Drosophila melanogaster: one gene and its partners. The gene in region 1 interacts genetically with each later gene. Each region holds a gene or a part of one and is shown in the gene's direction. Other genes may lie near its edges.

Evidence for each region.
Region 2: of Atg9 (region 1) and Atg7, changing one suppresses a phenotype caused by changing the other (phenotypic suppression), as found in Drosophila melanogaster (one study listed by BioGRID).
Region 3: of Atg9 (region 1) and Patj, changing one suppresses a phenotype caused by changing the other (phenotypic suppression), as found in Drosophila melanogaster (one study listed by BioGRID).

Annotation. Positions count from the first base shown.
Region 1 is NT_033778.4:16,290,315-16,300,435, forward strand, and holds Atg9 (Autophagy-related 9), read left to right. Parts: upstream 1-4,085; 5' UTR 4,086-4,206; coding exon 4,207-6,744; coding exon of another isoform or gene 6,745-6,765; 3' UTR 6,766-6,918; downstream 6,919-10,121. Other genes in the region: JhI-26 (juvenile hormone-inducible protein 26), read left to right, coding at 1-437, 614-896; CG42372 (uncharacterized protein), read left to right, coding at 1,237-1,404, 1,460-1,498; CG30100 (uncharacterized protein), read left to right, coding at 1,501-1,941; CG7747 (uncharacterized protein), read right to left, coding at 1,996-2,410, 2,469-2,620, 2,675-3,629, 3,689-3,720.
Region 2 is NT_033778.4:18,617,148-18,628,958, reverse strand, and holds Atg7 (Autophagy-related 7), read left to right. Parts: upstream 1-3,914; 5' UTR 3,915-3,999; coding exon 4,000-4,196; intron 4,197-4,252; coding exon 4,253-4,774; intron 4,775-4,831; coding exon 4,832-5,044; intron 5,045-5,175; coding exon 5,176-5,320; intron 5,321-5,381; coding exon 5,382-5,729; intron 5,730-5,789; coding exon 5,790-5,954; intron 5,955-5,972; exon of another isoform or gene 5,973-6,028; coding exon of another isoform or gene 6,029-6,314; intron 6,315-6,370; coding exon of another isoform or gene 6,371-6,958; intron 6,959-7,075; coding exon of another isoform or gene 7,076-7,167; exon of another isoform or gene 7,168-7,418; intron 7,419-7,626; coding exon 7,627-7,920; intron 7,921-8,003; coding exon 8,004-8,120; intron 8,121-8,184; coding exon 8,185-8,238; 3' UTR 8,239-8,493; downstream 8,494-11,811. Other genes in the region: Cth (cystathionine gamma-lyase), read right to left, coding at 1-964; Sec6 (secretory 6), read right to left, coding at 1,335-2,579, 2,645-3,616; CG5335 (uncharacterized protein), read right to left, coding at 6,029-6,314, 6,371-6,958, 7,076-7,167; CG5493 (uncharacterized protein), read left to right, coding at 11,222-11,759.
Region 3 is NT_037436.4:1,794,969-1,805,309, forward strand, and holds Patj (patj), read left to right. Parts: upstream 1-3,834; 5' UTR 3,835-3,955; exon of another isoform or gene 3,956-3,985; intron 3,986-4,013; exon of another isoform or gene 4,014-4,041; 5' UTR 4,042-4,180; coding exon 4,181-5,731; intron 5,732-5,791; coding exon 5,792-6,856; 3' UTR 6,857-7,216; downstream 7,217-10,341. Other genes in the region: Cdc37 (cell division cycle 37), read left to right, coding at 732-764, 825-1,028, 1,210-1,869, 1,934-2,206; CG12020 (uncharacterized protein), read left to right, coding at 2,397-3,381, 3,446-3,561; JTBR, read right to left, coding at 7,267-7,725; CG42676 (uncharacterized protein), read left to right, coding at 8,242-8,359, 8,465-8,599, 10,042-10,341. UniProt on the Drosophila melanogaster protein: Involved in cell polarity establishment. Probably participates in the assembly, positioning and maintenance of adherens junctions via its interaction with the SAC complex.

The DNA of each region.
Region 1 (10,121 bases):
GATAACATTCATCCGGAATGGAAGCTCACCATGAAAACGAGCATCGATCGAGCGGCCAAGGCGGTGGCCACCTATCAGCCACAGATCGACGAGGAGTTTGTTAAGAAGTTCTGTTTCATGATCTCGGACTATTCGCAATACGGTAGGCAACGGGTGGCGCCCAGGGAGCCACTGGCCACCCTGTGCCACGGCGATTATGTGAGGAATAATGTGGCGTACAGGTACGATGACAAGGAGGAGCCGCAGGAGATCATGATGTTCGACTACCAGACATTGCGAGTCTCCTCTCCCATGGTCGATCTCAACGTCTTTCTAGCCGTGTCCATTTTTGCCGAGGTACGCGATCCAAACTTCGAGGCCATCTTCTGTGAATACACCTTGGCGCTTCATAATAGCTATAGGGAGCACGCCAAGGAGGAGGTTCCGGATTTCCTAAGGTGAGTTGTTATTATTATTCATTATTCATAAGCTTTTAAAATTTCAAACAAGCGATATGAATGCAAATCAAAAATCTAAAAATACTCATTAGGTGCTCGATGTGATAAGATAAGATAATCCTGTAAAGCTTTTTACTGCCAAGAAATAATATAATACTAATTACGCTATTTCTTAGTCGCGGTGAGCTTCTGAAGGAGTACGTGCGTTTCCTGCCGTACAGCTTATCCATATCGGCCAGTTTCCTCATGAGTTTGGTGGATCCCTTGGACATCTCGCCCGAGGAGATGTTCGCCTTGCAACTGTCTGACGAGGAAATCATCGAACGGACCATGAATCGAGGTGGAGAAGTTGTGGACAGGGAGGTTGCTCACCAGGTTAAGGAAATGCTGGAGCTGAGCCAGGCGACAGGGGTGTCCATTGATGACGGCATTGATCTTGACAAGTTGCCCAAGGAGTAATCAATTGATAGCCTAATGTAAAAGTATTCAGGCATTTCAGGTATAGCGTAACTGTAGATAATAAAATAGATGTTAAAGTGACATGCATTACCTATTTAGAGTTTAATACACTGTTTAACCGTGACTAGGAATTTTTAACAGTGGTGGGGGAATCGTAAATTGTGGGCTACTTAAGATTTATAATCTTATCATTGCGTTTTTTTCAAATGTTTATTTTTATAACTGTTGCTTTTGTTTTGATCGCACAACGCCGCAGCTGATTGTGTTTTTGCTGAACTGCCAACCTGTTGTAGTTCTGCGTTAACCAGCACTGTCACACATGTGAGAGTGAAATATGAAAATGGTTCAACCTTCGCGGCAGCAAATTTTGCGTTTATACAAGCATTTAATTCGTTACGGCAATCACCTAAAGCTGACCGACAAGAACTACTTTCTGGGAAGAGTTCGCCACGAGTTTCGGGACAACCGTTCCCTTACGAATCCCGTGGAAGTGGAATTCAGCTTTAAGGTAAGTGCCACTTTCGTATTTCATAACTGATTTACAAAATGAACTTATATTTCAGCGCGGAGAGACCCTGCTAAAGAAGGGACGCATTCTGTAGGAATGCTGCGAGGTCTGGTGCGATTCCTGGCGCTGCCTCCGACCGCTGTGCGCTGCAAGTCCAATCTGGACTACTCCCGCTTTCCCGTGCTTCAGGAGTCGGATATCGAGGAGACCTTCATGCGCGGCAGTGGTCCTGGTGGCCAGGCTGTCAACAAGACATCCAACTGCGTGTTCTTGCGCCATCTACCCACCAATATAACGGTCAAGTGTCACACACATCGTCTAGCATCAAAGAATCGAGTGGAGGCTCGTAAACTTCTACTGGAAAAACTGGACGTGCATCTAAACGGAGAGCATTCAATTGCCGCGCAAGTCAAGGCACAAGAGCAGAGAAAGTCCACTGAGCGGCGGCGGCGACAGGAAAAGCTGCAAGAAATGAAGAAAAGCTGGCAGGATAGAGAGCGCACAGATGGGGGAACCAAATCTACCGATAAAGAGTGATAACTTTTACTTCTAAAACGGTCTTTTAAATATTTATTTTTGGAAAACAATGGGTTACCAACTGGAGAAATCTCCAAAACCATTCGCCAGTTTCTTCTTCTTGGCTGCTTGAGCGGATGTAAGTGGCGCCTCTGGCTTTTTGGCCACTGTCTGAAGTTTCAGGTACTTGCCTACGCCCTCTCTGTACACCTTCAGTGGCTCCTTCATGCGCTTTTGCTGCTCCTCCTTCTTGACAATCTCCTCCTTGCCGGCCGCCTCCTCCTCGCGCTCCTTGGCCAACTGTTCGGCTGCCTCGGCAAATGGATTCACAAAGACCTGTGAGGACTCAATGATGATGTCCTCAATTGGTCTGTCCTTGTTATCCACCTCGATATTTTCCATCTTTTGAAGAGTGTCTAATCCTCCGACAAGCTTTCCAAAGATGGTGTGTTTGCCGTCGAGATGTTTGCAAGAGCGATAGGTGATAAAGCTACGAAACAGCGTATACTTGCAAAAGCATTGAAAAAATGTCACTTTGTGGTACTTACAACTGAGAGCCATTGGTGTTGGGTCCCGAATTGGCCATTGATAGCACTCCTCGGCCCGTGTGCGTAAGATTCGGCTTAAACTCGTCCTCAAACTTCTTGCCCCAAATGGACTCGCCACCAGAACCACTTCCAGTGGGATCACCACCTTGCACCTGTGGATAAAACCATAGTAAATTAAAGTTTCTCTCAAAAGAGATCGTACTTACAATAAAATTCCTTATGGACCGGTGAAACATAACATTATTGTAGTAACCATTGGCGCAATGCTTGATGAAGTTATCGCAGGCTCGAGGAGTTTGATCGCAGAAGAGCTCCAGGTTGAGAGGGCCAAGGTTCGTATTTAAACGAACGTAGCCCTTCTTTTTTACCCGCTCGTACTTGACCAAATCATCATCTATGATAGCCGCCTCTATTTGGGAAACGGGCACCATGGCGGTAGACGTAAAACTGGCCGCCACCGCTCCAGTTGAATAGTGAGCTGCGTTGAACTTGTCAGCTGTACGCTTCGAAGTGGAGGCCTCCTCTTCCGCTGGCTGATAGTCCTGCTGCAGCTGTTCCAGCGTCTCCTTGGTCTCCAGATTCATGGTCTTAATGCGGCCGCTGGCTGGATTCTTTCTCTCTTGCTGCTCTTCTTCCGTCAGGACTCGTAGATTCTTCTTAATATGATAGAAGGTCGAGATGTCGTACTTTTCCAGCTTCTGAGGATCTTGTATTGTGATGATATCCTTACGCTGGAATGGCGTGTCATCCACCAGATCCTTCCAGTTCTTTGTCTTAATGTTCAGCTGGTCGATTGCCTCCCAGCAGTATACATTTCCAGTTGTGGCCACCGCCACGATGTGCGAGTTCTTGCTGAAGGGCTTGAACAAGGCGGGGCAGTGGTACTCATCGTTTGCATTCCTGTGGAAGTTCAGCTTCACCAATGACTTGGAGTCCATCTTCTGCCCGGTGATGGGGTTCACCTTAAAGGTCTTGAGAAACTTAAGAATGGCCTCGTACTCGAACACATTGCCCTGTAGATCGCAGTAGGGCATCTCGTAGGGCGCCATCGTAATGCAGCAGTGCTCGAATGGCAGCCGCTTGAACTTGACATGGTCGTTCTCCAAGGATTCCACTTTTTTGCCGCCATACAGCTCACTCCACTCCGTGTACGTGAGGTACCTGTTAAAGCAATGGGTAGTCTTCATTTCCATAACTCGCTGGATGTGCTAAATACTTACATTTTGTCCTTTTGATGCTGCCTTTTACCCATCTTGGCTGTTTGTTTTTTTAAATTAAATTTGCAATAAAGTAAGAGCTACAAATAGTTTGTTTACAAATGCGGGAGAGAACTGCCAACTCTGTGCAGATTTATGTTGATGGATATCTAGGCTGTTCACACTTCGGGTACCATAAACAAAAGTATCGAGTATTTCAAAAAGTTAAAAACGAATATAAAAACAAATAACAAGAAAAATGCAAATTTAATTATTTATAAGTATTAATTTTATAAGATACCTTTGATTCTCCAATGTGTGTTATTTAGAGATGCCCTGGCAGTGTGAACACTGCACATTGGGCGCTGCAAGAGGTTCGCCTTACTTATTCATTACCCAGTATTTTGACGTTGGCCAACACTTCTCTTAGGAGAGTCAGCTGTTTGCTGAGAAGGTTCAGCAGAATCAAACAACAAAGAATTTTCCAACTTATACTATACAGCGATATAAATAGTCAGAACGGTTGACCTTGACGTTGGGCGATGTCTAGCCCACATATCAACTACCGCTCCCTGGCCGAGGAGGCGGCCAGTCCGTTCCTGGAGCACCATCCCTCCACAGGCCAAGGCCCATCCAAAACACAAGACGCAAAAGCGAACGCAGCTGCTGCGCATTTAGACCCCCTCGGTGAACACGGGCTGGAGCAGCCGCTGGATGAGCACGACACCGAGCATGAGGGCGAGGACACGCCTCGAAACAGTGGCGTCATGATCCACATGGTTCCGGAGACGGGGCGTGCGCGGTGGAACCACATCGAGGACCTTGACTCGTTCTTCTCGCGAATGTATCAGTACCAGCAGAAGCACGGATTCACAGTGATTGTAGTGGACGAAATGCTACAGGTTCTGGAGTTTGGTTTCGTCGTCTGGCTACTTGCCTTTGTGATGCACTGCGTCCGATTTGACGTGCTCTTTGGGGACACCCCTCCAGGGGGACTTAACCCCAACAAGACAACTTTATCCGATGTGATGTACCCCACAGGCGAGTGCTTAGCCAACTTCACTTGGGTCACGTACCTGGTTGTGTTCATAGCCGCTATCTATTTGGGCATAAGGCTTCTGAAAATGGTGTACCATATTACCCAGTACGCCGATATAAAGAGATTCTACAACTCTGCGCTTCATATCGAGGATTCGGATCTGGACAACTTTACGTGGCACGAGGTGCAACAGCGGATTCGTCGCGTCCAGGCCGAACAGCATATGTGCATCGACAAGGAGTCGCTTACGGAATTGGACATCTATCACCGAGTTCTGCGCTTCAAGAACTACCTAGTGGCACTGATGAACAAGCAACTGCTGCCTGTAAGGTTCCACATACCGCTGTATGGCGAAGTGGTCTCGCTGAGTAGAGGTATGTTGTTCAACATTGACTTCATCTTGTTTCGCGGCCCTGGATCTCCCTTCCAGAACAATTGGCAGCTGCGTGATGAGTTTGCGGTAAGAAGCAATCAAACGGAGCTGGCGCAGCGACTCTCCAAACTGATATTGGGGGTGGCGTTGTTAAATTTGGTCCTAGCGCCTGTGATCTTCGTATGGCAACTTATCTACTTCAGTTTCTCCTATGCGAACATTCTTCGTAAGGAGCCTGGTGCCCTTGGCCTGCGTACATGGTCCAATTACGGCCGCCTCTACCTGCGCCACTTTAATGAACTGGACCACGAACTAGATGCCAGGCTGAATCGGGCATATGACTACGCGGACCGCTATCTCAACTCCTTTTCCTCGCCACTGGCCGCTGTGATAGCCAAAAACCTACTCTTTATCAGTGGAGGACTACTACTTCTAATCCTTGCATTGGGCATTTACGAGGAACACGTCTTCCAGGTGGAGCATTTGCTTGCCATCCTTGCAGGGCTCGGCGCCATAGGTGTGGTCTGCAGAACTCTAATACCGGATGAGAATCTCGTTTGGTGCCCAGAGCAGCTAATGACCGCCATTCTGGCGCACGTTCACTACCTGCCCTCCGAGTGGCGGCAGCAGGCGCACACGACAAAGGTTCGCCAGGAGTTTAGCAACTTCTTTCAGTTTAAGGCTGGCTACCTACTCAGCGAAATCTTCAGTCCCTTCGTCACACCCTTCGTGCTGATCTTTGTGTTCAGGCCAAAGGCCATAGAGCTGGTGCGTTTCTTCAGGACGTTCACCGTATCCGTGCGAGGAGTGGGCAACGTATGCTCCTTTGCCCAGATGGATGTTCGCAAGCATGGCAATCCCGACTGGCAGTTAACCAGCGAACTGGAGGAGATGACCCGGGCTACAGCTCAACAGCCGCAGCAGGAGCCACAGCAGCAAAGTTTGGCCGGCGGCAAAACGGAGATGTCGCTTCTTCGCTTCACCCTGAACAATCCCGAGTGGCAGATGCCCAAGGAGGCCAAGCAGTTCCTGCGCGGCGTTAGAGAGCACGCCGTTGGTGAACTAGTCCAGGCCAAGACGTCGATGGTGCAGGAGAACCCGCTGACCAACAGCCTCATCTCATTTGGCACCATGGGAGCGGATTATTGTTCCATTGCGAACTCTGTGCTGACCGCACAGGTGACGCCCCAGCAACTGGAGATTTCGCAGTCGTTGCGTCCGGGTCTAGGACCGGTATCTGGAGGATTCCCCGTCGCAGCCAGCGACTTCCGCCAGATGTTGCAGCAGAATCTGTCCGCCAGTGTCGGCCCGCTGGACAGCATGCGCCGATTGCGCCTCAGCCGGGCTGAAGGCCGCTTGGAGGGTCCGACGGATACACTGCTCTACGGACTCTGTGGTGTGGACCCGCGCGTGGGCAGCACTCCCTTGAATGTGGGCGTGGCCGACATGTGCCTCAGTGCCCTCTATTTGCACGAGCTGAACCAGCAGAAGCGCCAAGCGCGCCAGTCTCGCATCGACGAGGCCGAGGACGAGCGTCCTGGTACGAGCCATTGGCCACCGCGACCACCAGCTGCTCCGTCGGCTGATACTGGCTTCGGCTCCCGCCATACCGTGATTACCTCAAAGGCTGCCGAGAGCACGCCGCTTTTGGGTAGCATCCGCTCATAGCAGCGGCCAGAGTGGATCTAACCACCTGTAGAGCTAAGGACCACCCATTCTGCTATTAGTGATTAACCTAAATTTTAAAGTGTAAACGAACGAACGACGTCGTCTAGTGCGTAGCTAAACTAATCTGAAACTAAGCTAAACTAAACGAGAAGCAATAAACATAAATGCATTATCAAATTGATCAGCTTTATTATTTCAAAGGAAATTTCGCTAGATAATAACTAAATCTATTAGTGTGTAGTAGTTGTGATTACCCATTACCCATATTTACATATATATATATGTATAAACTATTTACCTGGTTTGATTATAATGGCTTGTAAATCCTAAGCATTATCCGTTGTGTATCCTGTGTACAACAACTGAAAGGAGACACCATAAAAAAAATCCATTTTCATTGTGAAGATTATATTTAATGTCTTTACGGCTTATCCCGATCTTAGCTCTCCGGGATGTGGGAATGCCAGCTCCATCAGCACTGATGGATGGTCCCCATTTGTAGGCATTGTTGGCACACCACATCCACCTGGTCCAGAGATCCAGATGCGAGTGGCTGAGGAGAACGCATCCAGCTGTGCTGCAGCGCCTCGTGTGTCACTTGCCACACACGAACGCCATTTGGCGATTGGTGTTGATGGCCAATGCGGCGAGCAGAGACCAAAGACTGGAGGAGATCGGGGCGCACAGAGTGGACCGACCAAGTGCGTGCCTATGAATCTCCCAAGCCGGCAGACACCGATACAGATGCAGATACCGCCGATCCCCGCCAGCTGTGGCAACATTTATGAATTATGTGCGTGCTGCATGGAGCTGGAGCTGTAGCTGTAGCTCTAGCTGGAATCTGCGGCTAGATCGCTGGAGAGCCTTTGGATCACGTTGTCTCATTTTTCCGCTGCACGCCAATTTTGGGGGGGAGCATTGGCCAACATTACACGAATGTACGAGCTGCTAGACGGCCACTTGCCCGTTTTGGATGCATCCTCCGACTCTCGCAGTGCGATGGACGTTGGAGATGCAGTTGCAGTTGCATGTAGTACTAATTGTAGAGCCCGCGATATCCGATCCGGCAGAGAGAAAAAATGTATTATCATTTTAAAAGAATATTGAAATAGTTTAACCATAAGTTCGACAATTGATAAGATAATAGATTCGTTAATATATATAGATAGATAGATAGAGAGATAGATAGATAGATAGATAGATAGATAGATAGATAGATAGATAGATAGATAGAGAGATAGATAGATATATAGATAGATAGATAGATAGATAGATAGATAGATAGATAGATAGATATATAGATAGATAGATAGATAGATAGATAGATAGATAGATAGATAGATAGATAGATAGATAGATAGATAGATAGATAGATAGATAGATAGATAGATAGATATATAGATAGATATATAGATAGATAGATAGAGAGAGAGAAAGATAGATAGATAGATAGATAGATGGATAAATAGATAGATAGATAGATTCCTATGTATGATGGTGGTAAACTTATACTTACACCCATATCATACACTATATGATGTTTTTATCAATCAATTGTCATCCTTATAACGTTATATGCCTTTGTTATTTGGCTACATTACACAAATGTTCAATAAATTTAATTATACTATGCAATTTTCAACTAATGCTAATAGATTTTCCTCGGTGTAGATAAACGCATTGGAGTGGGGCGACGCTTATGGCTCAAATGGAAACATTTCGCGAGCCTTGTCAAACAATCGAATTTAATTTATGATTTCCTGCGCCAATCGAGTAATGACACTGCATGTGGTAGACCCCGGCGGACCCCGAATCTCTGAATATCTGTTGATCACTCGATACGCAATTTGGTCACAGCAGGGCCAGAAAAATTGGTAACGAAATATCAGAATTGGAATGGCCAAGAGGGAATGGTAATGCGAATGGATATGGATATGGATTGGATATGATCGTGCGGCGACGGGAGCCACTTGCATATGCGGCTGGCTGTCTGGGATTCTGATGGCCGTGGACCACCGCGTAGCGTTCGGCCAGCAGAACCAGTTCAAGATCAGGCGTCACTTTGCGCCGCTGACTGCCACTGACAGTTGGATAAGGTTTCGACTGCGATGTGGAGCTGGAGTTGGAACAGCGCGCTCTGTGAGCTCCGAACTCCAGACTTTAGACTCCAGATCGCAGCTGCCATTCCGCAATTAGAGCTTTTCCTGCAACTGTTGCTGCTGCACGTCGGCTGCTATCAAACGTGTCTCAATGTCTCCGGCAGCGACTAATGATGATGGTTTCATGTCCTCCGTCCTCCAACCCTACCCGCCGATCTCCTACAGATTCGAGTGTGAAGCATCAGCGTCCCCTTTGATTGACAACTGATCAGCGTTTTGGAGCAACGTTTCCCACTTTTGGTGCACGCACGTTCTACCCATGATAACTTATCGGTTTTTTTTTTTTCATAATTAAAAAACCGGCTTGCGATGGCTCCTTACAAATAGCCATCGCGACTGGAGGATCTCATTGGCTTGGGATCGGTTCAAATGGTTTAGTTGCAGCATCGGCATCAGCACTGGATTTGCATTGCAAATTAGAGTCGCCTCCATTGCTGCTTTCTCCCCCTGATCTTGTAATCGAGCCCCGATTCAATAAAACATTTAAACATTAAACTGCTTTTATGCAAATTGCCGGCATGCGCTTAATTTTGCGATCAGCCAGGGAGTCGGGTTTTTGGACTATGTAGCATCCGCTTGAATTATCTCCACATCGCATGCCTGCAACACCTTACGATCCAGCGATATCGATCCCGCCTCCTCTCGTCCAGGTGTAGATAGTATCTACAGCGGCCACAGATTTTGTGCTGCCTCCGCGGGCAGAGCTCCTCCTCCTAATGGCGGTGGCTAAAATGCTAATCAATAGCCTTATCGCTATTAATCTCGGCTTCGATTTACCTTTTGCCCGACTCTCTGTCGGCTACTTGTTTTTCTAGATGCGATTTGGGGATCCGTCGGTGGATTTGGTGCTGGGGGACAAGGGTATTGATCGCAGCTCGCTATCCATTAAACATCCAATTGCTGTTGCCTGTTTGTAAATGTTTGTTGGCTTAAATTGTGCTGCGTTTGTTTCCCCCAGCCGTCATTACGTTAATTAACGTTGAGCATACGCCGTGTGGGTCAGCAGGAAGAGGGCAAGTCGACCAAGTGGTCATCATCTGGATCCTCGAGTTATGCAAATTAGAGCACATTAATTTGAGTGTTTGTTTTTAATGGTTTATTTTGTGCAAAGCGAATAAAGTCTCGTTAAAATAGCGCTAATATTTCCAATCAACTGCTATAAAACAGTGAAGATGCATCTTAAATCTAATAGATCGAGATATAAAAAGTTATGTTATA
Region 2 (11,811 bases), 2.3 Mb from region 1:
GGAAAGCCGAGGAGTGCTTCAGCTCGCCCTTAATGTAGAAGGAGAACACGCCGCTGTATCCGTATGCCTGCTTCAGAGCGATCTTGTGCTGCGGATGGGAGGGCAAAGAGGGATGCAACACCTTCTCCACGAACGGATTCGTCTCCAGGTATTTGGCAACCTTCAGAGCATTCTTCTGGTGCTGTTCCATGCGCAGCGAGAGCGTCTTAAGACTTCTGTTCACCTGATAGCAGTCGAATGGAGACGGCACAATGCCCACTGCGTTCTGCAGGAACTTCAAGCTTTTGTAGAGCTTCTCCGAGTTCATGGTGATGCCACCCATGACCACATCCGTATGACCGTTCATGTACTTGGTCAGGGAGTAGCAGACCAGATCAGCGCCCAGCTCCAAGGGTCGCTGGAAGTAGGAGGTCAGGAAGGTGTTGTCGACGGCCAGGACGATATCCTCGCGTACTCCATGGACCAGCTGCGCAATAGCCTCGATGTCGGCTACCTTTACCAATGGATTAGTTGGTGACTCGATCCACACCAACTTGGTCTCCGGCTTGATGGAACTTTTAATTAGATCCAACTTCGTGGGATCCACAAAGGTGGCTGAGATTCCCAGACGGGTGGCAACCTGTCGGATCAAACGGTTGGTGCCTCCGTAAACATCGTCGCCCATGATGATGTGATCGCCGCTGCTCAGCATAGTTAGCACAGCGGTGGTGGCTCCCAATCCCGATGAGAACGTGAGGCCGTATTTGGCATTATCCAAGGCGGCGAAGCACGTCTCCAGCACGTTCCTAGTGGGATTTCCACTGCGGGAGTACTCATAGCCCCTGTGCTCGCCCGGTGCATCTTGCTTGAAGGTGGTGCTCAGCGATATCGGCGGAATCACGGCAGCACTCTTCCACTGGTCGGGGCTCTGGCCCGAGTGGATGGACTTGGTGGCGAAGCCGCTCGGCTGGACTCTGTAGCTCATCTTGTCTGGGTAGGAGGATCGTTGGGAACTGACTGACACGTGGAGAGAGACCGTCGCGAATATATATACTCCTGCCAGATGTTATCGCCTAGCCGGTAATTAAATATTTCGACCGTTACAACACTACATTCGCCGACAGTGATGGAGCTCTAGCTATTAAACGGCTAGAAAACGGAACCCTTCAAAAGTAACGATACATATATGCATTGAAACGATGGATATTCTTACTTTCCTTAGAACTTCTTCGATTATTTATACAATAATTTATTTGTTGATAAAGCACAATAATATTACAATCGCAGCTTAAGAGTAAATACGATACTGAACAGAAAGGGACATGCGGAATGGGTTGGGAACTATACTCCAAGGTCTACCACAGTTTGTCGCTGAACACGATCTCCTTGAAGATGCAATCCTGCTTGGCGATGCTGACCATTGCCTTCTTCGACTTCATGGCATCCTGCACCTTCTCGCGCACCTCGGCCGCCTTCACATCGTTGCGAATGTAAAAGAGCCGTACCAGGTGGTCCTCGTTCAGAGACGGATAGCTGCCCAGCAAGGTGTGCAGGTCCAAGACGAGCAGTTCGATATCCGAGCTAAGCAGTGCCGATAGCGTGGATATAAGATCCAATGGAGAGTCGCTGAGGGAAATCTTCGGCGCGATTTTCTCAAAGAAGAGCTTAAACCGCTTGGCTTCGGTCTTGATTTTTCGCGTAATGGCATCGCACTCGGCCCGTGGCTTAGACAGTCGCTTGGATAGCAGTGCCCTAATGTAGCGCTTGGCCAGCAGCTTCTGGGCCTCGTTGATGACCATCTCGAAGTTATTGGGTCGCAGGTGATTATAGTCCTGGAAGTAATCGTCCAGCGTTACACAAATGGTGTCCACGGCAATGTTACTGGCCAGCCACTTGGCAGTGAATAGGTCGTTAAAGTGACACTCCATGTCCAGGAAGGCTTCCTCCAGCAAGTAACTTGCGGCATGAGCCCGGATCCGCTGGAATGTGGCAAGCAAACGTTCGAAATCCTCATAATGCTCAGTACGTGACTTGGGCCAGTAGAGTTGTTTCATCTGCTGCGCCAGTTCAACCATTTGCTGACTGTTATTCACGATGGTGATGATGTAGTGAGTGAAGTATTTGATCTGGTCCCGATTGCGAAAATGGTGTTCCTTCAGCTCGATTACGTTCTTAAGATATGTCTGGCCAAAGATCTCCACCTGCTGAATGCTCATTACCAACGCCTTGAACGTCAGTTCCTGATGAATTGTGTTGGTCACCTGCAGATGCTGGTCGATCATCTGGAATATGATGACAGGCGCTGAAGTGTGGTAGTACTCCTCATCCTGATCGGGCACCGTCTCAGTAAACCACTCCTGCTTCTCCGTTTCTGCGGCCTTGGTCATCCATTCCTGGAAGTTTCTCTGCATATTTTGCAGATATTCATCTTCCAGCGCTTTGAGATGTTCCGGACGCAGCAGAGTACCTATCTGTCGGTGTACATCCACATTAAGATCCGGATGGGACATCAGCTCGACGCCAGGATAGGTGTGTGTAACCCAAGCCATCATTGATACATATTCATTGCCCTCCAAGCCCGAGCGCACAATGTTGTCAAGCTGGAATTAGTAAATATTAGTGGTATAAAAACATTAATCAATTTAAATGATTGACGATTACTCACATAGCTAGAAAGTCCTTCGTGATAGAACTTGACATATTCGCCGAAAATGTCGTAGTGCGGCGGGAAGCAGGGCACACAAAGGGACTTCACAACGCGCAGATCCTCGAGAATGATTTGACGCAATATCTCCAGGTCTCGTACTAACCACATCTTGTTATCGGCCCGCTCCTCTAGCTTGGATCCCTCTATGCGCGTTATCACCGACTGTTGTAGCACGTCCATGATCATGCGGCGCCAAGCCTTTGGTCTTCCAGGCGGCAGGAATCCTGTGACCTTTTGCTGCTGCAACGCGAACTGGTCGTTTTTCTCTTCCCGCTCTATGATGCGTAGGGCGGTAACGATGATGGTGGGCTTCTTGCGCAGAGTGTTCAGCGTGCGGCTAAGAATGAGTCGCAGCTTTTTCTCCAGCTCTTGGGATACCGTGTCAACCTTCTCGAAGTGACGCTTTAGGGTGATCTTGTCGGACGCATGCTGCTTGGGCTGCTTGTGCAGTTCGTAGAGAAGATCATCCCGCGAATTCTCCAGATCCGCCAGGCACTGATGGGCATTAAGCAGCTTATCATCCTCGATCAGCGCCATCGTCTTTTGTACGCTGGCATCTACGTTGAAGATGTGCTTCAGATTCTCCATGGCGGTGGCGTACTGGGAGTGCTTTGTGTTTTCCTCCCGCACAACTTCCAAAGCGTCGTAGACTTCGGGAACGCCCCTCAGCAGGCGCTCCACCTCGTCCATTCGACGCCTTACCTCGCGCACGTCCTGCATGCAGGTCTCCAACTGCTTAAGTCCCACCCTGACCCCGTCCAGCTGTCCTTGCATTCCGGTCTTAAGGAGCGCCTCAACGGATGCCTTCTTCCGGGCGATTCGGTGGCGATATTGTTCCACCTTCTCCAGTTGACCTGGTCGCTGCAACATGTTCTGTATGTCCTTGAGCGCTGCCTGGCGAGCCTGCTCCTCCAGCTGCTGTAAATCCATCTTCAATTTATTTGGATCACTTTCAGTCTCTGTTTTGGTCAATCTTCGTCAGCAGTGGAAGTGCTGGTGTGACCATATAGCAGTGCGGCTGACAATCTCACTTCCAAGAACTACAGTGTAACTTGACAATAAGCTATATTCTACTCTTAAAATTATTATAGTTTTATTGTGTCTTAAAATTTTTATTTTATTCTTCAAGCTTAAAAAATTATGAAGTTAAAGTATATCTTTTAGTTTGCCAAAGCAACAGAGGATTCGACCTAAGTATGGAAAACTGTACTTATCGATAAGTTATCTTCTCATTGGTCTATCGCCATCGAGAGCTTTGTTTGTTTATAATTTGCAGCCAAACGTTTGAACGTAAACAACGCCCTAAGCAAAACATGAGCACGGAAAAAGAGATAATTTTGCAATTTGCTCCGTGGGAATCTTTTGTGTCGCCCACTTTCTGGCACAAGCTAGCGGAGCTTAAGCTCGACCACGATCGCCTGTCCGACTCGAAACGCTCCATTACTGGACACTACACAAATCGTAATGCAAGTGGATGCCTTTTGGAAGTAGACTACACGGCCTACAACAGGTGAGCTTGAAAACTACGAGTTTGATGAAACCAGCGCTTGACCACCCACATTCCAGAATGGCAAAGCCTCCAAAATTCAGCCATTCCGCTATAGGCACCATCTACAATAAGAACACAATCGAAGAGTTCAAGGCCCTGGACAAATTACAACTGCTGGCCGATGAGGGCAAGGAACTGCTGGCTGATATGTGCAGTGGTGGCGCCTTGAGAGATCCCAGTCTATTGACCCGGTTCTTTGTTCTCTCCTTTGCCGATTTAAAGTGTCACAGCTACTACTATTGGTTCGCCTTTCCGTGCCCGCTGACGCCCACCTTAAAGCTTCAGGGAGCCGTCCAAAAACTGCGGGACTTGCCCAATAGTAGTAGCTATATAATGGCTCTAAAGGCCTTACCCACTGAGTCACAGAACTTCTTCATTCTGTATGCTAATGTGGAGAAGAACATTTTCGAAGCCCGTAGTTTAAGTTCCCTTGACGATAAAAATGTTGAGTTCTGTTATTTTGGTTTTGCTGATCCCAGCGAGTATGAGCATCCAGCTTGGATAATGCGAAACTATGCTGCCTTTCTGCTTCAGCAATGGTAGGTAGGAATAGCAATGTTATGATATCAGTTCACACAGTTGTCGGTCTATTACAGTCCCTCTTTTGTTGGAAAACCATTGAAGTTTCTTGGCCTGCGACACAATCAACAAATGAACATCGATGACAGCCTTGTATGGAAGGTGATTCAGACTGAAGCTTGCGATCTTAGCCAAAGCGAAAATATAAAGTTCGTGGGCTGGGAGCTAAATAAAAATGGCAAAATGGGGCCAAGAATGGTGTGCATGAGGGACAGCATGGATCCAGCCAAGTAAGTTAATAGCTATAGACTTAAATGATAAGAACTATCAGTTCATTGAGGTGTGTCCTTAGTGTTAGCTACCACGACAGTTGAAAGTAACTTGTTTATTATTTATAATTTAACAATATTTCTTTCCGTAGACTCGCTGAGAACTCTGTAAACCTGAACCTGAAACTAATGAAGTGGCGCCTTGTTCCCGATCTCAATCTCGAAATCATCTCCCAAACAAAATGCCTGCTCTTTGGAGCTGGTACTTTAGGATGCGCTGTAGCTAGAAATCTGCTGGTGTGCTTTTATACGAAATGATTTAACTGATCTGATAACTAATAGTTTATTTATTTTGTAGTCCTGGGGATTTAAGCACATAACCCTTTTGGACAGCGGCAAGGTTGGGTTCTCTAATCCAGTGCGTCAGAATCTCTACACGCATGCAGATGCTGTGGCAGGCAATCGGATGAAGGCGACTACAGCTGCTCAGAGATTGAAAGAGATCAATCCGTCTGCGGAAACGGCGGGTTATGTGCTGGAGATTCCCATGCCTGGGCATACTATTGGAGAATCGCTTCTAGCCCAGACGAAGGAGCATTTGAAGGTTATCGAAAAGCTTGTGCAGGACCATGATGTCATCTTTCTGCTCACAGATTCGCGCGAAAGCCGCTGGCTGCCCACCCTGCTTGGAGCGGCAAAGGAAAAAGTGGGAACAATCATATACTCACCTTTCAGAAGAGATGTACCTAAAATGTTTCCCTTATAGATTGTCATCAACGCAGCTTTAGGCTTTGACAGTTATCTGGTAATGCGACATGGCACTACGCGTAAGGAAGCAGGCGACGATGGCCAAGAAATCGAAGGACTTAAGTGCATTAATGGCGATCAATTAGGTTGCTACTTTTGTAACGATGTTACGGCCCCTGGAAATGTAAGTCCCATTTGTTGTATAGTTTAAGATAACATTTGTATTTTCAGACTTCATTAGTTGGGTTAACATGGTTACTAAACGCATTCGTAATCATGGCGGGAATATTTTTCGAAGCCAGCGCACGTAGGATCCCCCGTCTGCAGGTGATCCACACCAGTTATCTGCACTACCAGGCCATTTATGCTGGTCACCTTGAAACCCACTAGATTCATCATGGCATTAGGTGTGCGCCAGGTGTAGCTGAAGAAGTTATAACCGTCCACTGCAGTCAAAACCTCGCGTTCCGTAAACGCAAGCGCCAGCTTGAATTGCTGGTTAAAGACGAAGGGGAAACCTCCATGACGCTCCTCGCTTCCGAATCTATAAAAAGAATTAGTTAACGCCCAAAGAGGTACGGCATTATAAAGTTAACTTACTCAAAATTTTTGTTCATGGAATTGCGCACTACTGCCTTCTCATCGAAACGCACACTGAAGTGTAGCTCTTCGCGCTTGGTATCCGAGTCCATGAACTTGATTATGAACTGTCCCTTTTTATTCTCGAAACACCGAGCTGTAAGGACAATCACATGGCCCGGACTAAACAAAATTGGCTGATCGTTACTGAACGCCTTAAAGTAGTCCGAGGCGTGAACGGCTGGCCACGGATTTGGAAACACAGTACGATGATCCACCTGTTTAATGACTTGGATCTGATCACGGATCTCCAGAGCACGAATCGTTCCCAACGGCATGCGGTAGCGGAATCTGCAGAACTCTCGGCTATTTATCGAGATGGCAAAGCTGTCCTCGCAACAAAGAATGTAGACCAAAAAGAACTCGCCACTGACGATGGGATTGGGCAGGGTGTTGGGGTCCATGACATGGGACTCCTCCTCGCCCCAGGCGCCGTTTATCCGGGAATTTCGAACGATCACATCGTTCCGAAAATAGCATGAGAAGCGTAGCCCAATATCTGCGTTCGGATCGACCGTGCTCTTGGCCGTGCAGAGGTTAATGTGGAACCTATCCGAACCAAATGATCACAATCGATTAGTCACGTACTGATAAGAAGCCCAATTTGACAAGTAATTAGTCAGAAAACGGAAAAGCGGTCTTACATTAATGCCGGACAACACTTACCTGGCTGCTCCATCGATGGTCTTGGCCACGACCTCCAGAACATGACCAAACTCCAGCGGATGCGATAGATTGCCAGCGAATTCGGTCAACATGATTCCTTCCTGCAATTACCAATTCAACTAACTATCGCCTTTGTACTGAACAATCAAGCGCAAAATGTGTTTTATAGTTCCGTGGGAGAGTCCGGAGTTCTCCGGCTCTCCCAAATGTTAAAACTTTATCTAATCAGTGATGGGCGGAGCGGCGGGTTGCTCAAGTAACCGATACAAACGCCGAAGTTTTCTATATCTTGTGTTTTTGGTTTTTAAGCGCTGCTATTTGTTTTGTTCTCGCCCGAAGGCGTCATCTTTGTTTGCTCGGAGCATGTGTTTGTGGACACAGAAAAGCTTTCAAAAGCTCTTGATCGTACTACTGCACCGGCGTCGAATGTGCTCCAAATCACACTGAAAAAAACTCTGTATAAAAAAATCTCTTATAGACTCGCTTTATAAAGTTGTACGTACAAATTTGGATACAGATACTCATTGCATTTCGTTCTATTCCATTTTCAGTCGCTCAAAGACCGAACTTTGGATCAACAGTGCACAGTGACACGACCCGGAGTATCCAACATTGCGGCCAGCTATGCGGTGGAATTGTTGGTGGCTTTGCTGCAGCATCCTCGTAAGGAGCTGGCACCCGCCTACTATGCACAGAGTGGGCGTGGCAGGTCGGAGGAGACGGAAGAAAAGGTGCCGGAGGGTCTGCTAGGAATTTTGCCTCACTCCATCCGTGGAATGCTGTGCAACTACGAGAATATTCTGCCCGCCACTCAAAAGTTTGCTCAGTGCATAGCCTGTTCAGCGGTAAGATTTGACAATCTTTTAAAATGGTTTTGATAGCGTTTTCAATATTGTTAAAATTTTTTTTTTAATATATTCGCTTACAGGCCGTCCTAAATGAATATAAAAAAGAGGGTCATGCTTTCCTGTTTAAAACTTTTGAAACAGCCAAGTTTCTGGAGGATTTGACGGGAATCTCCGAATTCAAGCGGTTAAACAGCGAGGTTTGTTTGTTTCCTGTGTTTAATCTAATGGAGATATTTAAAAATTATTCATATTTTTGCACAGATTATCGATTTTGATGATGAAGAATTTGACATGTCCGATAGCGACGAGGATTAGGTTCCACAAAATTGGTCAAGTTTTATCTTCAAAGCAAAATATCTTAAATATGAAATTCAGCTTATTGTGGCTTTAATTTTCTGCAGCATTTATAGTTCAATGTCTATACCAAAAATGTGTGTACTTCAATGCTTTTATTCTATCTAGTCGTTAAGCAAATTGTGAATCATTCAAATGAAATTGATGTGAAAATTAGGCATAAGAAAAATGTGAATTTACTATTGAAAATTGTAATAATAAAAGTGTGAATTTACTATTGAAAATTGTTATAATAAAAGTGCTTAAGTACGGGAACAAATGTATTTCCGCCAATTTACAAGTCGCAGCCTTTAAGCTTTGTTTGTTTGTACGAAACGTGTTTCTGCTGATAAGAGCACTCATTTATAGGCGAAAATATTATTCTGATCTGAGAATTCCCATTTTTGTGGTTGACAAATACCAAAATATTGTTTTCAATTCCCGATCGGTCATTGAATATGTTATTAGCTGCATTATTCAAGGCGAAAACACGCAAACAAAGATGAATGTTCGTATAAAATTGTTTTGGGAATATGCAAATGATTTACATAGTGGGCCAGGTATGCGAAAAGAATAGTTCAAAGTTGAATAAACCTGGTTAGAAAGCCACGAACTAATCGCATATGTAAATTTGCTTATTATGTCTCGGTCAAAGTAGATGACATCCTAGAAATACGCTCACAAATGTTATACTTTAAAGAGATATGTAAAGTTAAAACTATATTTTTAGTCCAGGAATATAAAATGTTTAAATTTTCATTAAATGGTTGTATGAAAATTTACCACTTTAATTTATCAAAGTGGTTTTAGGCCAAGTGTTTTGAGCTGAACAAATATTGGCAACAAGTACTTGACACACAATTCGTGTGCGTTTCCAAGCGATTTGATGATAAAGCCTTTCATCATTTTGACCCCAGGCCAAAATGGAGCTAGAGAATTCCATCCACTGGCTATGACAAAAGGCTCCCGGCCATTTCTCTTGGCCAGAAAAACAAACAAGAAAGAAGATCGACCGAGAAAGAAGAAAAAAAAAACGGCACGACTCCATAATTAATAGTTGGATTGGGGGAGAAATGTATTGAAATATATCTGGCCGCTCAACCTCGGATCGACATGGCGGTGGTGGTAGTGGTGGTAGCATAAATTTCGGGCCTGGCCAACTGAGCAAACAACAACAAGCCAATTTGGAGCGAGTGAAGCCGCTTTGAGTTTGGCTCGCGGCCCCAAAAAGCGCTCAAAATGTGCTCAAAATGCCATTCGAGCTGCGATGCCTCTGCCAGCGTCGCCTTTTGTCACTCGAATTGCGTTTTGAGTGGTTAACCGGGGTTTGCTGGCCAAGATCTTCATAAATTGGTGAAAGATACCCAAAACGGGCACATAAGCTCGGCGACGCGCATCCAAGTGGCAACTACCCAGTGAAAAGTCGAAAAAGTGCAATACCAAGTCCTGAAATTAAAAGTGTTTTTAAAAAGTGAATTTCAAGTTCATAAAAAATTATTCAGTTGCCATAGCTAAGAGAGAAATTCCAAGAAGTCAAACAAAATGGTAAGTCCTTTATCCTTCAAATCCCTTTCCCTGCTGAAATTGTACGAAAATCAGAAAATCAAACTTAAATCGTAGTTTGTTGAACTGTTTCGAAAATTGGCAACTGCTTTTCACCAATTTTCCAAGCTATTTGTTCGCATAATATTTACGCAAATGGCAGTTCGCAGCTTTTAGTTTTTGCTTTGACTTTGCTATTGGCCTTAACCTGTTGCGAAAGTTGGCTGCCAGCTTGGCAGTTTATGCTTTTTGGCCATTGCAAAACATTTTTCAAATACCTTGATGTGGCACCAAGGGGAAAAGATTTAACAACATTGCATGGGGATCGTAAAAAAGTTATTACCTTTAATGCAAGCTCAAGTGTTTTATTTATTTCGAGTTTTCACCTGAAGTTATATAATTAAATTTATGAGTTCAATTCATATCGTGTTAGGAGAAACAATGACAGAATCATTTTCTTTGTTTAACATTTTAATGGAGAAAGTAAGGTCAGTGTGTTAGTCACTAATTAACTTCCTGAGTAACAAAGACACGACTGATCTGCTGACAAATGGCAGGCAATTGAGAGAAATCTGTAACGAACCTGAAAGTAGGCAATACTTTCTCGAAACAAAAAGTATCTCAAAGTGTTTCGGTTAACTATAATCCAAAACTAGAGAAAGTCGCGGTTCTTTTTTTCAAATGAATTTGCGGGAAAATCCCGGCTGGTAAGACCCGCAGATCTTGAAAGCAAATTCGTCAGCATCCAGATTCAACCAGCTATCAGTTATCAATTGGTATATTAACGTATCAGTGACAATGCCCGTATCGCCCAAATATTTTTTATTGTCGGCTCCAGAGTATATTGTGGAATAAATTTGTTTTTTATTTGCCAAACGATCCCATTAGATCGCCGTTAACCTCTTGTCTCAAATTCAGGCACATCTGTTGAGCCCCTCCTGGCAACATTCGATCTATCATCATCTACTGAGAAATACGTGTATTATATAGCCGAGGGTATTGGTAAAATCTGCTATTGATAAGTTGGATGGACGGTTATCGCCGGCGACTTCTTGTTTTTGTTATTGTTTTGGACTTGCGCCTCCGATTTACGTCGGATCCGAGCTGATTATGCAGCCTGGACAGGAGAGCGAAATCTCCAGAATTCAGTTCGAATTTTGCGATCCGAGGTGGAGCGTGTGCGGTTAGTCGAAGCAATTCAATCAATTGTAACAGCAACGAATCGGAATATTCATATATATATATACCAATAGCTATTATCAGCGATCATCGACTTTACAACGTAATTCATCTAAATCAATTGAGCAGTGATCTTTATAGACTTTATAGGTAGTTTTCCACGCCCTTCAGCCTCAACTGATGCACCACCACTCTAACTTCCGCTTCCCTTTTCGCAACCTAGGTCAATCAGAGCAAGCCCAAAATGGCCCTGTCCAAGATCGACACCGAGATCGAGCAGGTTGACCAGGAGAAGTACCTGCGTCAGGCCACTAGCTACTATCAGCCGCTGGAGAAACCCCTGAAATACGGACCGGAGGTGAATTCCCTATCGGACTTGGTGGCCGCCCTTCACCGGGAATTCGAGTCGAACTATGTTAACATCGAGATGGTGAATCACCTTATGCTCAGCTACAAGTCCAATCCGCGGGAGTGGCGCAAATATGCCAAGTTCGATCGTTACACCTACACGCGGAATCTCGTGGATGCTGGCAATGGAAAGTTCAATCTGCTGATTCTGTGCTGGGGCGAAGGACACGGCTCCTCGGTGCACGACCATGCCGATTCCCATTGCTTCATGAAGATGCTGAAGGGTGATCTGCGCGAGAAGCGCTACGAGTATCCCAATAGATCTGCCAGGGACAACGGCCGGTCCCATCATCCCGATGGCGAGATCGATAGCCGAGAGCTGGTGGAGATTGGGGAGACACCAATCGCCGTCAATGATGTGGCCTACATAAATGGTGAGAAAATTAGAAACTTTAAAAGTGGGGTATTCCTATACTTACTGTTTTT
Region 3 (10,341 bases), on another chromosome or scaffold:
AGAAATTCAAAATTTCTATTACTAATCAAGCAGTGACATTGCACAGCATAGCTTTTCAGTTATGGCCAAGACTTTTCTCTCACTTTAGCCCCGTTAATTGGATTTTTGTGTTGCCTTCGAGGGTGTGGCGTTGACCCGAAAAATTTTCACTTTGCACGCACACCGAATTTCAATTGCATTTTGAACCCAACTAACAGTGAGCTACGGACGAAAACTATGTAGAAACTTACACTTTGATGGCAATCTATTTGTTCACAGTTACTTTGTTAATTTAACTATTGATTTGCAGTAGTTATTCGTAATTTTCACGGAGCGCCTCTATTTCACGGGACCGCAGTTTTTTTCAATATGTCGGCCGATTGGCGCAGAACATTGACATCAATATCGCGATTTCTATCGATGTCAATCGATTATAAACATAGTTCTCTTTCTGGTCGCTTTGGCGCCTTAGTCATCTCATTATTTTTCTAGTAGATGTAGATGAGTAGTAGTAGATGATGTAAATAAATTAAAAACGACAGGGTATTTCAATTCAATCTGGTGCACTCATGCATGACTACTATTTCCTAGCGCGGCCCCAGAGTAAGCGGGGCTTATTATGGTATTATTCCGCAATAGCCCTGCGGTCACACTAATTTCCAGAGCAATCCAAAAAAAGGAAGCAGCCGAAAAAGAACAAAAACCTGCAGCATTTACATTCAAATATAAATCCGAAGCAAAGAAACAGCAAAATGGTGGACTACAGCAAGTGGAAGAACATCGAGGTGAGCCCACTGCTGGGTGCCAACCCAAAAAGTCCTCCTAATCGGCACACTACCTTTTAGATTTCGGATGATGAGGACGACACTCACCCAAACATAGACACGCCTTCTCTGTTCCGCTGGCGGCACCAGGCGCGCGTGGAGCGCATGGCGGAGATGGACCACGAGAAGGACGAGCTTAAGAAAAAGCGCCAGAGCTACCAGGCGCGCCTCATGGACGTCAAGGAGCGGATCTCAAAGAAGGATGGCGACGAGGAGGCCCTGAAGGTGGGTCATTGCACCGAATGCACTGCGCACTTGTTGCTTAGGCTAATGCCTGGTCTGGGAGTTCCCTATGTTCTCAATCCATCTAATTTATTCTTATTGTCAAGCTTATGATTGACTATCATCCTAAGTGGCCATCCATCTTTCATCGCAATGCTTAATCCCTAATTTGTATCGCCTACAGAAAGAGCTCGAAAAGATCGAGGCCGAGGGCAAAGAGCTGGACCGCATCGAGAGCGAGATGATTAAGAAGGAAAAGAAAACACCCTGGAACGTGGACACCATCAGCAAGCCCGGCTTTGAGAAGACCGTAATCAACAAGAAGGCCGGCCGCAAGCCGGATGAGAATCTGTCCGAGGAAGAGCGAGAGCAGCGCATGAAGCAATTCGTCAAGGAGAACGAGAAGCTCTGCCAGCAGTATGGCATGCTGCGCAAGTACGACGATTCGAAGCGGTTTCTGCAGGAGCATCTTCACTTGGTGGGCGAGGAGACGGCCAACTACCTAGTCATTTGGTCCATCAACCTGGAAATGGAGGAGAAGCACGAGCTGATGGCCCACGTGGCGCATCAGTGCATTTGCATGCAGTACATTCTAGAGTTGGCCAAACAGCTGGACGTGGATCCTCGCGCCTGTGTCAGCTCCTTCTTCTCAAAGATCCAGCACTGTCATCCCGAGTACCGCGCGCAGTTCGACAGCGAGATCGAAGGTTTCAAAGGACGTATCCAGAAGCGTGCGCAGGAGAAGATCCAGGAGGCGATAGCCCAGGCCGAAGAGGAGGAGCGCAAGGAGCGCCTCGGACCTGGTGGTCTGGACCCAGCCGATGTCTTTGAATCCCTGCCCGATGTACGTTCTAGTGATTCACTGTATGGGAATTACTTGACTAACTTTTCATGTATTTGCTCCGCAGGAACTAAAGGCCTGTTTCGAGTCCCGCGACGTAGAGCTGCTGCAGAAGACCATTGCGGCCATGCCCGTGGACGTCGCCAAGCTGCACATGAAGCGTTGTGTGGACTCTGGTCTCTGGGTGCCCAATGCCGCTGACTTGGAGGGTGACAAGAAGGAGGAAGATGACTCGGATGACGTCGCCGGTGGCGAGGAGAAGACCGACGATGCCAAATCAGAGAGTGCAGCCAAGGAGGAGCCCATCTACACTGGCGTCAGCACCGAGGACGTTGACTGATCGCCGCCACGTTTCCATCTACACCATAGCTCTAATCTTAATGTATTTGTCCACAAGCATATTTCATCCATAGCCAGATCCTGCGTCAGTTGAGTTATTGTATATAATTTGAATAAATTCTCAGTCACACGTCAAACATTCTGTGAACACTTCTGCCAGTTGTTATACGCTTCGACTCCGAATAGAAACAATGAACCGGCCGGAGCTGGACTACTACGCGGTGCTGGATCAGCCCAGAGGCGCCACCAAGGAGCAGATTACTCTGGCCTACCGCCGCCTGGCCATTCGGCTTTGCCCACATCGCGACAAGAAGGACGAGCAGGACTTTGTGCCGCTGGCCCAGGAGGGTCGTCTCACGCACCTCTCACCCATGGGCGAGCCCAGGCAGTGGGCCTACGTCAACATGGCCTTCGATGTGCTGGGCAACGATCTGTACCGGGCCATATACGATCGCTTTGGCGAGGCGGGTTTGTTCGAGGGCGTCATGCTGCCGAACGGATACTTTCCGCCCTATCAGTACGACGGCGACCACATGAAGGTCTACGAGCGGGTCTTCGGTAGCTACTCGCCGTATGCCAACGTGATCGATGCGATCTCCAATCCACCGAGCTTGTACGCTACGCGCCAGCATGGCATTGGCGTGCGTTCCAAGGACGCCAGTACGGAGAGGATCATCGAGCTGTCGCTGGAGGAAGTACGCACTGGCTGCGTCAAGCTGATGAACGTGTGGCGCCAGGAGATCGTGGACGCCAAGGAGTCGCGGCTGGAGAAGCGCAAGCACACCTTAAAGCTGAACATTGCCCCGGGAACTACGGCCGGAACTCGCTTCTGCTTCAAGGAGGAGGGCGATCGCTATCCGGCCACCATTCCGGGTGATATTATTTTCATTGCCGCCGACAAGCCGCATCCGGACTTTGAGAGGAGAAACCAACACGACCTGGTCTACAGGCAGTCTATTGGCCTGTGCCAGGCCTTCACCGGCTTCACGTTCTTCATTTGCACGCTGGACCGGCGCCAGTTGAAGGTGGTCATTACGGACGTAGTGCAGCCGGGATACACCAAAGTGGTTCCCCTCGAGGGACTCCCCAAGTGCCGCAATTTGGATGCAGTTACGGCCATCAAGGAGGCCAACAAGAAGGTGGAGCAGTTCGGGGATCTCATTATAGAATTTGATTGTGGGTTTTCCTTTTCTGTTGGAGGTTTCAATAGTTTCTGATAGTTTCTCTGTTTCTTCTGCAGATATCTTTCCCAAGTACTTGACTCCACATATGAAGCATATCACTCGCGAATTCTTCCGCGAATTCCGCAAGCTCGAAATAGAATTGGAGGAGGAGGAGGAACGTAACATGGTTTGATGGCAGACACCTTATTGTTTTTCCGTATTTGGAACACAGATATTTGTGCGTACAGAGAAATTAAATTCAAAATTTGCGTTTAAAAGGATAGATGTTGTTGGGTTATTTCGTATAGCCATATTACATACGAGCACATGCAGACTATATTCAAAAATCTTAGATTTAATTAAATTAGCAGATGTAACGGTCGAATTTGAATTGATTTTGAAAAGGTGGCAACTGTTCCGATTATGTCGATTGCTTATCGATGCACAACGCAGCCGCTCGGCAACCCTGTCCATCAGCTGTTTGTGAAAAGAAAATGCATTTGGCATTCCATTTCAGAGATAATTAAAAATCAATTACAGCAGCAGCAGCAGAGCAAGTGGCCACCGAAAAGAGTGCATAGGAGAGGGTAAACAACTCGCTGCATCCAAACGGCACAGTAACTGATCCGAAGCTGTCCCACTTAGAGCCCAAATCGAATTACCCGTTTTGCAGTTTAGGACAAAGTGTGCCAACGCCACAACGCCCCCACCCAGAAGTCCATAGAAACGCCAGCGGAAGTGGGATAGAGACGGGGACCACGCTCCACTGACCGCACCGCGCACCGCTCGCTGACCACGCCCACTGACGCAAGATGCACCTCAGCGCGGATATTTCCAGCGCCCTTCAGCAGATCGAGGCAGTGAAGAAGGGCATCGATGAGTCCGACGACCCCAAGCTGCAAATGCAGACGGCCGAGAGCCTTAGCACCATTCTGGGCATTCTGCAGGATCCCGTTTTCCGCACCATCGTCCACGTGCAGGACTCGTTGTCCGAGCTGAACGCCCAGCTGGCTCAGCATCCGTCCATGTTGCCCAACGACTTCGACATCGATGTGGCCGGCAACCTTGTACTCAGTCTGAATGGTGGCGAGGTGATGTACGACTTTGACGAACAGCGCTCTTCCTCGCACTCCCATTCGGCTCCGGGCAGTCCAGATAAGTCCGGAGGCGTCGGCGAGGAGCCGCGCCCGCAGAGCCAGAACTCCAAAGGAGCCGGAGTGGCGGATCTCTACGCCACGGACTACGCTCAGATCCAGGCCATAGAGCTGGTCAACGACGGCACGGGTCTCGGATTCGGTATTATTGGAGCTCGCAACTCGGGAGTGATTGTAAAAACCATCCTGCCGGGTGGCGTGGCCGATAAGGACGGACGCTTGCGCTCGGGCGACCACATCCTCCAGATTGGAGACGTCAACCTGCACGAAATGGTATCCGAACAGGTGGCTGCCGTGCTGAGACAGTCTGGAACCCACGTCCGCCTAGTGGTTGCCCGTCCCGTTGAGCAGAGCGTGCCTACGCCCCAGTACGCCCTGGAACCGGGCACTGCTGTGGTGCCCACGCGCGTCCTCGTCGATCCTGCCGAGCTGGAGCGGTACCTCATATCTACCGGCTATCCGGAAATCTTTGGCGAGAGCTCCACGGCCTCCACTCCGCAGACCACCACGGAAGACGATCGTTTCGTTTATCGCGGCGAGACATCAATGCTTATTGATCCAAACATCGACCTAGAGGAATTGCTTGCCCTTCCTGAAACGGAGAAGCTTCAGGTGGAGCTGAAGAAGGATGCCAACGGCCTGGGCATCACAATTGCCGGCTATGTGTGTGAGAAAGAAGAGCTGTCTGGCATTTTCGTAAAGAGCGTGTCGCCCGGTTCAGCAGCGGACCTGAGTGGTCGCATCCGGGTCAACGATCGCATCATTGAAGTTGACGGCCAGTCGCTACAAGGCTACTCCAACCACCAGGCCGTAGAGCTGCTTAAGAAGTCTGGTCAGGTGGTGAACCTGCGCTTGGAACGCTACCTGAGGGGCCCCAAATTCGAGCAGCTGCAGCAGGCTATCGCTGCGAATGACAAGCTTCCATCCAGTGCACCTGGAACGCCTTCAAGGGCTCCCATGCCCACGCCCGTGGCCACAACGTCCTCCGCCACAACTACACCATCACGCAGCATCACTCGCGAGTTGGAAGAGGAAGCCTTACCAGCGCCAGAAGCATTCATGACCACTCCGCCGTCGGTCACCACAATGACCACCACCACATTAAGCTCCTTTGGAGCGGGTAAGCAACTAGTAGCAGTAAGGGACTCCCTAGACGGCTCCACGAAGATCATACCCACGGAAGTTGTACCCTTGGCGGATAAAACGGAGGTGAGTATTAGCTAACGGGTAACACAGCAGCAAAACGTATAGCGCATTAACATGTTTTAGGCCAAGAACAGCGGGGTGATCACCCGTCACAAGTACTACACCGATCCGGAACTGTCCGACGACGCCGAAACCGAAATTATTCGCAAATGGCAGAAGATTGTGGGCTCCGATGTGGAGGTGATTGTGGCCCAGATCAAGAAGTTCGCGGTCGGAGGCTTGGGGATTTCCTTGGAGGGAACCGTGGACGTAGAAGGAGGGCGCGAGGTACGACCCCATCACTATATTCGTTCAATCTTACCTGATGGACCCGTTGGCGTGAATGGAGTACTCCGCTCTGGCGATGAATTGCTGGAGGTAAACGGCGAGCGGTTGCTGGGTATGAACCACCTGGAGGTGGTGGCTATACTTAAGGAACTGCCGTTGGATGTGCGCATGGTTTGCGGTCGCAACAGGAACAGCTCGCTTCTCCCATTCTCTGATGACACCCTGAAAAAGCTAAGCAACAACTTTGAGAACCTGCTGCCTGCTACCGATCGTCTGGTGAAGGCCAAATCAGATGGTAGTCTGGCCACCGCGGGCTCCGTGGCCGATGGAGATTCAGTGGCTGCCGCCGCTGCTTCGTTTAGTAAGCTGAAGTCGCGCTCCCTGGAGCCACTAACCGGATTGGCTATGTGGTCGTCCCAACCGCAAATTATCGAGCTGGTCAAGGGCGATCGCGGTCTGGGCTTCTCTATTCTGGATTATCAAGATCCGTTGGATCCCAACGATACGCTGATTGTAATCCGTTCTCTGGTCCCTGGAGGGGTGGCTCAATTGGACGGACGCCTTATACCCGGAGATCGACTTTTGTTTGTGAACTCCATTAACCTGGAGAACGCCTCGCTGGATCAGGCAGTGCAGGCTTTGAAGGGTGCTTCGAAAGGAGTGGTGCGCATTGGTGTGGCCAAACCACTGCCCATGACGGACAACTCACTGAAGGCTTGCAGCAATGCGAGCACCACCAGCGAAGAGACCTTGGACGCCCAGCCATCGCCTCCAGCCTTGCCCACAGTTGCTCCGCCCGCCATGCCGCCTAGTGCCTCCATGGGAGCTGAGCCCGACCTGATTCCCGACTGGCGGAACTAGGGTGTTACGATAACGAAGAATTTCACACATTCCAGGCATTTGAATCTTTAAGCCTGTTTTAAATCAAATCAAACGCGGTTGCTAACTAATGGATTAGTTAATCGATATTTTCTACGAATATGAACAACAGGCAGTAGAATCTGAAACGATGTCAGAAACGATGCCAGAAGTACAGGAGCGATTGTTATTACCGAAGCAAAATGTTATGCATATTATTAACGCCGAATTGTGTTTGTCCCCTGAAAACAAGCATTCCACAAGTATGCAATATATTAAACCCCCTAGTATTAGCAAATGAATTTTAACATGGTATTTCCAGAGTGTATGTACTTAAACTAAATTAAATAATGTACCTTCCGTACGGTCAATGAGTATCACTTGGGGAAGGGAATCGATGATTTGGCGGAGGGCTATTGGACCCGGTTTAGCTGTCGCTCGATTCTCATGTAGTTGCGCCTGGACAGGACTCGATCGCGGGCATAACTGACCAGGTAGCTAAGTAATCCGATTACAAAGCACGAGACCTCAAATTTCAAGAAGTTCATTTGCTCGATGAGCGCCACCCGGTCGCAGCTCCTGGTTACGATCTCGCCGCTCTGGCAGCGCAGCACCTCCTTGTAGTGCGTGTGAATGCAGACGCCCAAGCTCCGGCTGACTATATCGAATTCGGAGCACGGGTGGCACTCCTGCACCATCGTGTACTTCTCATTCCGCCAGCAGGTCGAGTTGTCCTCGATCACGAATTGCGGCTCTCGGCGACGAGGACCATCTGCCGCGTAACGAGATTCCACGAACAGGACGAGTATGGTGACCATCGTTAGGGCTCCTAGTCCAAGGAGCATGTGGTGACGCTGACAGTTCTCGAGCATTGTGAAGGCGGGCAGCTAACTCTTGTATCGGATCAAGTGCTGGAAACAACCTGGAAGAACCTATGCATGCTCAGTAGGTGGATAACTCCAATACATATGGACGGGATTACTCGAAATCCTATTGCTTTGCTTTTCCCCCTATGAAATCAGCTTTACTGTGTGACCAGGCGAGAGTTTTTATTTTTGTTCAGCCGTCTTTGGAACTAGTTCTTGCTTGGCATTTAAGATTATATATTAAAAAAAAATTGAATTTGCACATGCATAGATTTCGTAATTTAGATAAAGCGTTAAATTAAGGGAGAAAATAATATTTTTCGAGGAAATCTTATAAGCCGCGTATTCCGCTCCGATTCGCGGAACTGCAGATGTGTGGCCAGACTTCGGGGAGCTCGAAACTAGTTCGCTGTTTACGAACGACAATAAACGGAGACCAAAACAATTACGGAGGACAAGCACAAAGCGGACTTGAGAAATTTGTGAAAATTTTTATAAATCGCGTGTGTGGGCGCTTTGAAAATGGTGCTGCGATCGGGAATCATAATTCCGTTTCAGTTTCGCGACACGAAGAAGCTGCTGATGATCGGGGTGCCGCAGGAGAACCGCGACCTAAACATATGGGACCTAAAGAACGTGGGTAAGCACTGGTCTGGTCGGAGAGGGGGAGGTGGCTCAAATCACGGAGCCCCCAAGCGATTTGGTCGCCAAAAATGAAATATGTCTAACAAATCCCGCTCCACAGTGCGCGCCGCCTTCGGGATCTACAACTTCGAGTTCCGGAACAAGAAGATCGGCTTCAACATCCCGGACGAACTGCTGCTGCACTATCTGGCCCAGAGGCACGACCTCACCAACTTCGTTATAGAGATCAGTCAAGGTAAATAGCGTTTAAGTTACGGCTAAGTCGCGTTTCAATTAGCGTTTAAGCGTTCGAGTGACTGCGGGCCACCAAAAGTCGCGATTTCGCGGAGTTCCGGAGTTTCACAGTCAAGTCTTGTTTGTAGATCAGTTGTGTTTATGTAGACGATGCGTGCGCTTCGCTTGTAAGTCTCTGCGATTGCCATCTGTAATAAAACCCAAATTGTAAAATGCTCCCTCTTGCAGCTCTGGACGATGGCCACGCCAAGGAGATGCTCTCCTACGAGCCCTCATGCTCGATGGCGGTCCTGAAGCACCACCCTCATCAGCACCAGCACCACGTGCCTCTGCCGCAGCGGTCAAACGAAAGCGCCTCGCACCACGCCCATGAATATGTGCCTGACTCCCAGCCCACCTCTCCGGCCCTACGTATGAGTTCTGAGGCGGTGGACTCGCCACTGGACCAGCAGGGCAACAACTCGGTGCCGGAACGCACGGATAGTTCCCACAAACTGCGCCTGGGGCAGGCTTACTCGGAACGGACGCCGGAATCGATGACCCAGGCCATTGACCCCATGGATATTATACCCAAGTCGGAGTCCGAATCGGAGGTGGAACGTCTGCAGCGGGCCTCCAGATTCCTAGCGCGCCAGGAACAGCACCAAGCCCAGCAGCAACAGCACCAGCAGCAGTTGCTGCCCGGTCAGCAGATCTTCCCCAGCTACACGCATCCTTTGCCGTCGATGAATGCACCAAATACCTCCCAACAGTCGCCTTACACACCGGGTCTGATGAGTCGCTTTAGAAGTGAGAGAAGTGCTTGCAAAAGTCTGAAATCCGAACTAAATCCTTAATAATTCTCTTAAAGAACGCGGCGAACGCATGTCCAAGGACCAAAAGGAGCTGTACGTTAAGTTTTTCGAGGACAATCCATGCATGCTATCAAACCACCGCCGGCACGATGGCCTCACTGAACCATTGTGGGCAAAATTGGCCCACATGCTGAATAGTGTTCCCCAAGGCGCCGTAAAGAACGTAGAGGACTGGAAGCAGACCTTTGACGCCTGGCGGTACCGCATCTTCATGTACACACGCTACAACTCCAAGCTCAGCATGTCGGAAACGACCGATCCGAAGAACTTCAAGCCCCTGACAGCTACCGACCAGAAGGCGTATGCCATGTGGACCAGCCACAAGCACATAACGCCGCAGGACTACGAAAAAATGGACATGTTCGTGCCGCTGGACGAGACCACCACGGCAACGAACACCTACGACTACTAAATCGAGATCAAAGTGCAAAATATAAAACTGTTAATGTGTACTTTAACTATTGCTAAGAAATAGAATACTTTTTAAGAGAAAGAAACCGCGTTTTTTATGTTAGATAAGATAAGACATGAAATATGCAATTTCAAATTATACTATCTACTAACTACAATCCATAATTATTTATTGCAGTCTACGATGTCGGCCTGGACAACTATGTGCTGAATCGCCAGTGCCGCTGTACAGACCAGAAAATGCTCAACGATTCGCCAACGCCCGAGGAACCAACCAATTTGTGCCAGCCCAGCAATGTGCTAGAGGCCGCGCCGACTCCGCTCATGTCGCTGCCACCCTGCGAGGACGAGGATCACGAGCCTGAGCATGAGCACGAGCACGAGGAGAGCATGAAGTATCGGATCGATAAGGAGAGCAGTGGAGCTGCCTCCGCAGAGCTGGGCTTGCCCGCCTACGAGGCCTGCTCGCCCAAGATGG